3 linked regions of the Saccharomyces cerevisiae S288C genome follow. The gene in region 1 interacts genetically with each later gene. Each region holds a gene or a part of one and is shown in the gene's direction. Other genes may lie near its edges.

Region 1 (4,023 bases):
GTCTAAGATGTGAGCACCATATAAAAACTTTAAATAATGTCAGTATTTATAGCGTGATAGTTCATTACCCGCCGACTGTGCGCATTCGTGGCTTCTGCTCACTCCGGATAATAATACTACCAAGGGGTTCTGTAAGGCTTGCGGGTTACAAAGCACGGGTCCATTGAAGATCTTACACAAGAAGGAGTGGTAGGAAGACCAGCAGATTATTTCCAATCGGTCGTTGCCATTGTCTTATTTCCTTTTCTTTCTGGCGCATTGCATTTTAACACCTTTTTTTCCAGAATAGCCAACCACCGACGTCTGATTCACACATTACTGGGCAAGATCTTGACATAGCATTACATTACAACACGGCAACACTAATCACGCAACGCTAGAACTCGCGCAGGATGAATATTCAAAGCAATAATTCTCCGAATCTCAGTAATAACATAGTGTCAAAACAGGTTTACTACGCCCATCCTCCACCTACGATAGACCCGAATGATCCGGTGCAGATATCTTTCCCTACCACCGAAGTAGTTGGGCATGGTTCGTTTGGTGTGGTATTTGCCACTGTTATTCAAGAAACTAATGAAAAAGTTGCTATTAAGAAAGTCCTGCAAGATAAACGATTCAAGAACAGAGAGCTGGAAATAATGAAAATGCTGAGTCACATAAATATAATAGATCTGAAGTACTTTTTCTATGAAAGGGACTCCCAAGATGAGATTTATTTAAATTTGATACTAGAATACATGCCACAATCTTTGTACCAGAGGTTACGTCATTTCGTCCATCAACGTACGCCGATGTCAAGATTGGAAATAAAGTACTACATGTTTCAATTGTTCAAGTCATTGAATTACCTCCATCATTTCGCGAACGTCTGTCATAGAGACATTAAGCCTCAAAATTTATTAGTAGATCCTGAGACCTGGTCCTTAAAACTGTGCGATTTCGGCAGTGCAAAGCAATTGAAACCTACTGAACCTAACGTTTCCTATATTTGTTCACGGTACTATAGAGCACCAGAGCTAATCTTCGGCGCAACAAATTATACCAACCAAATCGACATATGGTCCTCTGGCTGCGTAATGGCGGAACTGCTATTGGGCCAACCAATGTTCCCTGGAGAAAGTGGTATTGATCAACTAGTGGAAATCATTAAAATCTTAGGTACTCCATCAAAGCAAGAAATTTGCTCTATGAATCCCAATTATATGGAGCATAAGTTCCCGCAAATTAAACCAATACCATTGTCACGTGTTTTCAAGAAAGAAGATGATCAAACTGTGGAATTTCTAGCTGACGTTTTGAAATATGATCCACTAGAAAGATTTAATGCTCTACAATGCCTGTGTAGTCCATATTTTGATGAACTAAAACTTGATGACGGTAAAATAAATCAAATAACAACTGATTTAAAATTGCTAGAGTTCGATGAAAATGTCGAATTGGGCCATCTATCTCCCGATGAACTATCATCTGTAAAAAAAAAGCTATATCCGAAGTCTAAGTAATGATAGCACCGGAGGGAGCCCAGGCAAGAATAATGGGAGAAGGAAGGAACATATATACGTATGTCTTTTTTTAGTACTATTATTACTGTTATTATTATGAGTATTGTTTTTGTATTACCATCATATTCTTATCATTATTAGTAGTAACAGTATTATGTTATCATTACTGTTATAATGAATACAAATTATGAAAAAAATAAGGTAAAGCCAAAATAAATTGTAACTTTTTTATGCCATTTCACTTCGAATTATGTATAAAAGCCGTATTCTTTGCCAGTACGAAACTATTTTAATGACACCTTTACTTTAACCGGGTAACAACTTCCTTAAATGGGTCGACAAGGTTTTTAGAGTATAAAGGGGCAAGTGAAGGTTCATCATCGAGCTGATGTAGTGGGTGTTTTAGTAAACGAAGAAGCACCTTAGAACCAAATAATCTAGCTAGTATAAACCGAACCCAGAGTAGCAAACAAACCATGGGTAATGTTCCAGGGAAAATAGACCAGGAAGATAGTTTTAATGATGTCAGGCCAGATTCCTCATATAATACTACATCATCGAATTCTGTCATCAAACAATATGATGAAGAAGCCTCTTCAAGGGTGAGAACGAGACGCACGACGTCTTTGGTCAATAATATTTTAAATGGGAATAATGCTCGTACAAAAACTGGTTCTCATCTATCCAGCACTAGTAGAAGAAAGACGTCACGGGAAAAAGAGCTTGCTAAAGAGGCACATGCTAAACAATTGGTTGTGAGGTGTAGCGAAACTGTAGATGGGGGGTTTTTGGCCCCATTTGGCTGTTATTCTTTTGAAAAGTTGGACTATGATGCTACTGTCGTTAAAAATTTAATAATCAAAAGAAAGTTAGCGCCGTTTTACACTCCTTTGCAGGATTTTGATGAAAGTTGGACTAGAGATGAGTTGATAAAAATTGTTGACGGATTGCCCTTGCATGACACGTTCGATGAAAATTTGGAAGAATTCGAAGACGTACCGATAGGCAATTTAAGGAAGTCAACATTTAATGAATTAATAGACAAATCTTTATCCAAGAAGGAACAGAGAAGAATGCACGCAAAGATTTTTAGAGCAAGATTGTATAAGAAAAGAATTTTATGGCAAGAAAATGAAAATGAGACGTTTTTGGAGAGGAAATTGGAAATGAAAAGAATTGGCAGCAAGTCCAGCAATGTTGAAGATAATACCAGTAGCCAGCCAAGGAAAAATTACCATTTACCAAGTGACGATTTGAAGTATACTCTTTACAAAAATGGGTCGGAATGCCCTATTTGTTTTTTATACTTTCCAGGGCCTTTCAACTATTCCAAATGTTGTCAACAGCCTATTTGTACCGAGTGTTTTGTACAGATTAAGAGAGCTGATCCTCACTTCCCTCATGACGAAGTAGACCCAACTGAACCACAAACTAATGACAGTGAAAAGGACCCAAATCTTCTTACCTCTGAGCCAGCAAATTGCCCCTACTGTGCAACTGCTAGTTTTAGCATCACTTATCAACCACCCACAAATCGTGAAACTGGTATAGGGGGTATGCCAGCCGACTCATACGTGTATAAGGACGCCGCCATATCAAGAGCTGATGGCGGTCAGCCAAACATATCAGCCATTACTTCGGATACCATTCGTCCTGATTGGGAGATTAAATTGAACAAAGAAAGGGCAAGGTTGATGAGGAGATCCGCGAATGCCACCGCTATACATATAAGTAATAGGTTGATCGATCCAAGCCATAGCAGAAGGAGAAATACAAGTCACAGTATAACCCCTATTCATGATGAAAGTACGTCAGCTTCAAGATCTCCTGAACCGACAATAAACGAACTTGAAGATCAAATGGTTAGAGAGGCTATTAGGTTAAGCCTTGAAGATCAGGACAACCGAAAAAAATCAAAGAATAGAAACACCTCTTTGAGACCATAGCATCACAGTTTGACATTTTTTACAATATTAAAAAAATCCTTTTTCAAACGTTCCAGAAGTGCACTATTTTTCTTTTGTTCCATCTATATCTAACGGAGCGTCACCAACCTGACCTTCCTTTTGGCTTTAAACAAAATGATCCGGAAATATCGTCACATTTATTGTGAAGAGAGAGAAGTTTTACAGTTAATTGTATTGCAAGCTCTTCCCGCTCTAGAAAGTTTTTGTTTTGTTCGTCCTCAAGAATTGAGAGTTCAAGTATTTCACCTCAAATTTGCATTTGAATTTTAGTAGTAACTAATATAAGATTCCCATCCCGCATCCGCCACTGAGCAATGTCATTCTCTCTTTTCTCGCCTTTTTATGGATAGAAGCACATAGACGATGGATATCAGAGAAGCGTTCACATAATTAAGCAGTTAGTTCCAAATATGCGTACAGTCTTTATAGATGAGAGACTGTTAAAAACGACCTTCCGTTCGACCACTCAAACTGTAGTAGGAGTTCTTTTCTCTATTTATATGCTTGCAATGTTCGCAGAAAAAGCACCATCTACCTCACCTCCAGCTTAG
Region 2 (2,918 bases), on another chromosome or scaffold:
TATTTGGCAACAAAACGGAAACGCATATCCCCAGTAGCGAGGTATTTTTAACCAGTTTGGACGATTTCGACAAGGACCCTAAATGGTTGCTCGGTCATCTACCCGAATACGGAACAGGCTACAACTCTAAGGCGCCTGCTATTCTGATCGTAGTCGACAAGGGGAACGGGTGGGTTGATGCGTTCTGGTTTTTCTTCTACCCATTCAATCATGGCCCTTTTATTATGGGCCATGGACCCTGGGGCAATCACGTCGGTGACTGGGAACACTCTTTGGTTCGGTTTTATAAAGGTATTCCAAAATATCTTTGGATGAGTGCGCATTCCAGTGGAACAGGCTACAGATACGAAGCTGTTGAGAAATTTAAGAAACTACGGAAAAGAAAACAGCAAGATAGTGACGATGGTGGGGATACTATACTGGAAAGACCGTTGATTTTTAGTGCTAGAGGCACGCATGCTAATTATGCATCCGCTGGGCAGCATGCTCATGACATTCCTTTTTTTTTCATGCCTTTGAGTGATTTTACCGATCGTGGTCCCCTGTGGGATCCATCTTTGAACTTTTACTCCTATACTTTTGATGGTAAAACTGTGACACCCTCCTCAGAGAGAGAAGAATCTCTCGGTTTGGATTGGTTGCATTTTCAAGGTGGATGGGGTGATCAACAACTACCAGCTAGAGATCCAAGACAGAAATGGTGCGTAGCTCAATGGAAGTATATCGGAGGTCCTCGTGGCCCCCTGTTTAAGAAATTGGATAGATTGAATCTATGCGGCGGTGTGAAAAAGTGGAATTTCTGGAATGGTGGCTGCCCCGCAAGAAGATTGATAAAAAAAGCAGAAGGCTTGGACTCTGAGAGCACTGATCTTATGGGTGATAATTGTGGTGTCCTACTCTATAGAATCAGACCAAAATGGCTGAGAGGAATTCTAAGATTTCTAATGTGGAGAGGTATACTCTGTTCTCTTATGGAATTTTTCACCAATTGAAGAACTTTATGACAACAGAATGTTCTGATTGTAATATAATGACAAATTTTAATCTTTAGTAATATCTAATATAATAGTTAATGATAAATAGTTAATTCTAATGTTTAATGATCTGCAAATACTTTTTATGTTTTTCAACATAGTTTTTAATGTGTTTCTACACTTGATCGCAACTAAATCTAAATAAACACACAAGCACAAAATATGATAAAAAAGCAATTTGGCTAGAAGCACAGGAACCAAATATGACGTTCAATTCAAATAGACCCTTATTTCTGGTCTTGTTCATCAGTCCCTGATGTCTTGCTCTTTCCTTCTGCAATTGATAGCGCCACACTTCTCAAAAGCAGTGGAAAAAAAAATCATTTCCCAGAAGAACGCGAGAGAACTCCATAGAAAAAAGGGAACTTTCCTACTCAAAAGAGAAAGGGAAAAATAATTGCGATATATCTTATAGCCTTTTTTTTTTTCCAACTTTCTATTTTTGTAAAAATGAAAATTTCCTTCATAAGCTACAATAAGACTACTCCATCCCTTGTTTCCTCAACGCACCGAACTCGATAGGACTGGTCGTAAAACAGAAAACTGACTAATGGCTGCCGCATGCATTTGTCAACCTAATCTTCTTGAGATTAATGTATCTGATGGACCACTGGATATGATCCGCAAGAAAAGAAAAATACAACAGCCGCAACTACGTCCACCCCTTCGAGAGAATAAATGCCAACCACACTTTTCTGTACGAAAGGTAAACCAGTCTTACATAATTTCTCTCCATAAAGAAATCACATGCCAACTCATTGCAGAAATTGTCAAACAAAAGTTATCGAGGATTTGGGAAAAAGTATACATACCATCTTATGAACTGATATCAGACAAAGACGGTAATCAAATTTATGTGGAACAGAGTGTCGACGAAAATAGGCTAACTTCTGAGATTATGGAGAAACTGGACCCCAACAATATTGATATAGAGGCGATCGAAATATTATTCGACGACTATCACCTAGAATTATCACGCTTGACAAACGGTATTATTATATCTAGTGCCAATGATCACTTTTACAGGGAATTCTCCTTCAATAACATAATTGATGACAACTTTAAAATTTGTGGAACAAGCATGTCTGCAGACAGTTTTGATAAGATTTATGGCGTTATGTGGATTGAAGTACCTTTCAATGGCAATGGCTTACAGAATGATAGCGCCGTTAATAGGGTTTCAACATCTCACAATCAGATAGAAGAATTGAATGACATAGAGCAGGAGATAAGAGCTTTTAATATTAGTCGAAGTAATCAAGAAAGTATCATCAAAAAGGAAGTATCTAGAAGATTGAATGGGCGGTAAGAAATACGGGCTACGGAATTTACCGTGTGTCTTCAAATTGAGTGTCACCCTGTAAGGCTTTCTACTCTATCACAAAATATTACATATTCTAATTCTACAATTATAGATATCAAACTTGATAAATTTAGTAGCAAATATGAAGTATTATTATGCATTTCAAAAAATTCCATTGTCCCTTCTCTTGGGCGCTTGAATTCTAAAAAAAATTAGCGCATCGCTAATAGCGCGTTTGAACCCGTCTTAAGAATGTTCATACCAGTATCAACAAGGGGTATGTTCCTCAGCATTATCTGAAGGTACTCCTCTAAATTTTTAAGTAAGAAAAGGCGTATAGTCATATAATTGTTGGGAATCCACCACTGATAAAGGTTATAATATCAGGTAAAGAAATTGTTGGAATAAAAATCCACTATCGTCTATCAACTAATAGTTATATTATCAATATATTATCATATACGGTGTTAAGATGATGACATAAGTTATGAGAAGCTGTCATCGATGTTAGAGGAAGCTGAAACGCAAGGATTGATAATGTAATAGGATCAATGAATATAAACATATAAAACGGAATGAGG
Region 3 (3,241 bases), on another chromosome or scaffold:
TAAGCTTTATTTATCTTGATGTCTTGTTGAGATAGATCTTGCACGGTGTTGGAGACCTTAACACTATTTGGACCTGAGACGTAGTGAGTTAGCGTGGCTAGATCGATGATCAGTTTCTTGGCATAATGTGCATCCTTGTCTGCTTTCGGAATCTTCGCCTTTTCTTCTAGTGCGCGGATAGTCTTTGGATTAATCCTTGGATGATTATTGGTGCCCAGCTTTTGCAAACGGTTTTTATACCAGTCGATCAAAGTTTTGTCCACGGGGAACAAACCAGAAAGAGCCCCCCACTCGGTGGTCATGTTAGCAATAGTGAGTCTGTGATCGATAGGCAATGCATTCAAAGAGTCACCCGTGAATTCAATGGCGTGATTTAGAACTTGATCATTGTTGAAAAGCCCACATAATGCGACAATGATATCTTTTCCGGAAACACCCTGAGGCAATTGACCTTTCAACTCAACCTGAGCCACTGGTGGGATCTGCCACCACGTCTGTCCCGTGGCCCATATGGCTGCAGCGTCTGTTCTCACTATTGGAGTGCCCAGCGACCCCAGACCACCGTAGGTGTTTGAATGCGAGTCAGATGCGACAGTCATGTTCAAGGGGAAAGCATAGCCCTCCTCAATCATAATTTGATGACCAATACCTCTACCGGCAGGGTAGTGGTCTATATGGTGTTTCTTAGCAAAATTTTCGATGTTCTTGTACTTGGTCAAATTTTTCTCTGATTTGTTCTGAATATCGTGGTCCAGAGTGGTCACAATCTGTGAAGGATTCTTGATCTTGGTAGCGCCAAGCCCCATGAATTTCAAAGCTACAGGCCACGAATTATCGTGGGACATACAGTGTGCCGGCTTGATCGATACATAGTCACCAGAATGCACAACTTTACCCTCGGGAAGGTTGACCGCATACGACTGAACAATTTTTTCAGTTAGGTTCTGACCTTTCAACCAGGCCCTAGAACTGTGGAACGAACGAGTAAATGTGGTTGATCGTAGCATCTTGAAGCGATACAATTTTGTTTCCTTGCAAGTTCTATTTTATTGAAAAAGTGATATTGTCTACTATAAGAGGCAGCGCAAAACTAGCTATTGCACACACAAACACACGAGGATTCTTTTGTATATATAAATACCTATGGGGATATATATATATATATATATATGTGCGTGTCTGTACGTGTGTGTGGACATGAGATTGTGTATACCTGTGTATGTTGGTGATATTTGCTGCCTCTGGTATAGACTCATCGATTACAAAATTTCAGTCATCTCGAGCAAAATCCCGGGGGAAAAAACAATAAAAATTTTTTTTTTCCAAATCGCTCCATTCTGCTCACTTGACACGAAATTGTTTATCACTTGATACGTGTACATTTTACCGGGTTTGCGGTAATTTCGCACGAACAAGCAGTGAAAAAAGTCATAGGAAAATTTTTCACCGTAGCAGCCAACGCAGTTGCGTTTTTTCCAGTTTTTCCAACACCAGAGGACAGCTTTGGCTATTCTTTTCGGTGTTTGGTGCTGTTGTATCGCTGGCTTGTGGTATCTTCTGTTTCCTATTTAAAGTTGGTCAGTGCCCCCTTTCCAGTGGGCTTCTCCCCTGTGTGGGCTGTTTCTCTTCTATGGCACTTCAACTTCGCATTTTTCAAATTTTTATTCAACAATTCCCTTTTCTTGATCTCTTTCTTTTCAACTCTCAAGCCAAATATTTAATTGTTTCTTCCTACCCGCAAGCGTATATATATATAATATATATTCACACACGCAAATATGTCCGCCTCAGCTCAACATAGCCAAGCCCAACAACAACAACAACAAAAAAGCTGTAATTGCGATTTGCTATTATGGAGGAACCCTGTTCAAACCGGTAAATATTTCGGTGGGTCTCTGTTAGCCTTGTTAATTTTGAAAAAAGTTAACTTGATCACTTTCTTTTTGAAGGTTGCCTACACTATCTTATTCACAACAGGATCTATTGAATTCGTATCCAAGCTCTTTTTGGGACAAGGTTTAATCACCAAGTATGGTCCTAAAGAATGTCCAAATATCGCCGGCTTTATTAAGCCTCATATCGATGAAGCTTTGAAACAGCTACCAGTCTTCCAAGCCCACATAAGAAAGACTGTATTCGCTCAAGTCCCTAAGCACACTTTCAAGACCGCTGTTGCCTTATTTCTACTACACAAATTCTTCTCCTGGTTCTCTATCTGGACCATCGTCTTTGTTGCTGACATTTTTACCTTCACTTTGCCAGTTATCTACCATTCCTACAAGCATGAAATTGATGCTACTGTCGCTCAAGGTGTAGAAATTTCTAAGCAAAAGACCCAAGAGTTTTCTCAAATGGCTTGCGAAAAGACAAAACCATACTTGGACAAGGTTGAATCTAAATTGGGCCCAATTTCCAACTTGGTCAAATCTAAGACTGCTCCTGTGTCTTCTACTGCCGGTCCTCAAACCGCCAGCACTTCTAAGTTGGCCGCTGATGTTCCATTGGAACCAGAGTCTAAGGCTTACACATCTTCAGCTCAAGTTATGCCAGAAGTTCCACAACACGAACCTTCCACTACCCAAGAATTTAACGTCGATGAATTGTCTAATGAATTGAAGAAAAGTACAAAAAACTTGCAAAATGAATTGGAAAAAAACAACGCTTGAGTGCTTTTTTTTTTTCATTTCAAACAAGAATAGCTAACTTTTGTCTCTTTATTTACCACTACATATTACATTAGCCTATATATACTCATACGTTTCTCTCTCTTTACTTTCTGTACCCCCGAGGAAAAATACATAAATTATTTTTGAACTTTCCCTGCTTTTTTACCAACATTGCTACAGTTTAACCATTGCAGTTAAAAGTGCTCATCGTGTTAGTTAAATAAATAAATAATTAAGAGAAATAATAATAAAGTATCATACATAAATAAGAATAAAAAAAAAAAATGAAAAAAAAAAACTGTTAATTTTTTTTTTTACTGATTTACAAATTCCTTGTACCTCTATCTCAGCCCATGCATATATTGGTTGTTTTACTGCTTGATACCACTAGAAACCTCTAGTTGTTTAACGATGGGGTCTCTAACATTAGGGTTCAAGTCGTCATTAGTTAAAGATAGTTGGCTTGATGTCCATAAGTTAGACTCTTCCACAAATCCGCTCTCTCCAACACCCAATAAGCCACCTTGGCTTTCCCAGTCTCTGACACGTGGTAACTGTAGCTCATTGAACACATC

The links.
Region 2: of SIP5 (region 1) and CUR1, changing one suppresses a phenotype caused by changing the other (phenotypic suppression), as found in Saccharomyces cerevisiae (one study listed by BioGRID).
Region 3: of SIP5 (region 1) and RTN1, changing one suppresses a phenotype caused by changing the other (phenotypic suppression), as found in Saccharomyces cerevisiae (one study listed by BioGRID).

What each region holds. Positions count from the first base shown.
Region 1 is NC_001145.3:545,733-549,755, forward strand, and holds SIP5 (Sip5p), read left to right. Parts: upstream 1-1,981; coding exon 1,982-3,451; downstream 3,452-4,023. Other genes in the region: serine/threonine protein kinase RIM11, read left to right, coding at 393-1,505; YMR141C (uncharacterized protein), read right to left, coding at 4,004-4,023. UniProt on the Saccharomyces cerevisiae protein: May negatively regulate the SNF1 kinase by promoting the interaction of the REG1/GLC7 phosphatase complex with the kinase. Deletion of SIP5 promotes resistance to artemisinin, which is probably an indirect effect of an action on the electron transport chain.
Region 2 is NC_001148.4:841,678-844,595, forward strand, and holds CUR1 (Cur1p), read left to right. Parts: upstream 1-1,584; coding exon 1,585-2,343; downstream 2,344-2,918. Other genes in the region: TDA6 (Tda6p), read left to right, coding at 1-992.
Region 3 is NC_001136.10:928,895-932,135, reverse strand, and holds RTN1 (Rtn1p), read left to right. Parts: upstream 1-1,778; coding exon 1,779-2,666; downstream 2,667-3,241. Other genes in the region: homoaconitate hydratase LYS4, read right to left, coding at 1-1,007; HEM1 (5-aminolevulinate synthase), read right to left, coding at 3,038-3,241.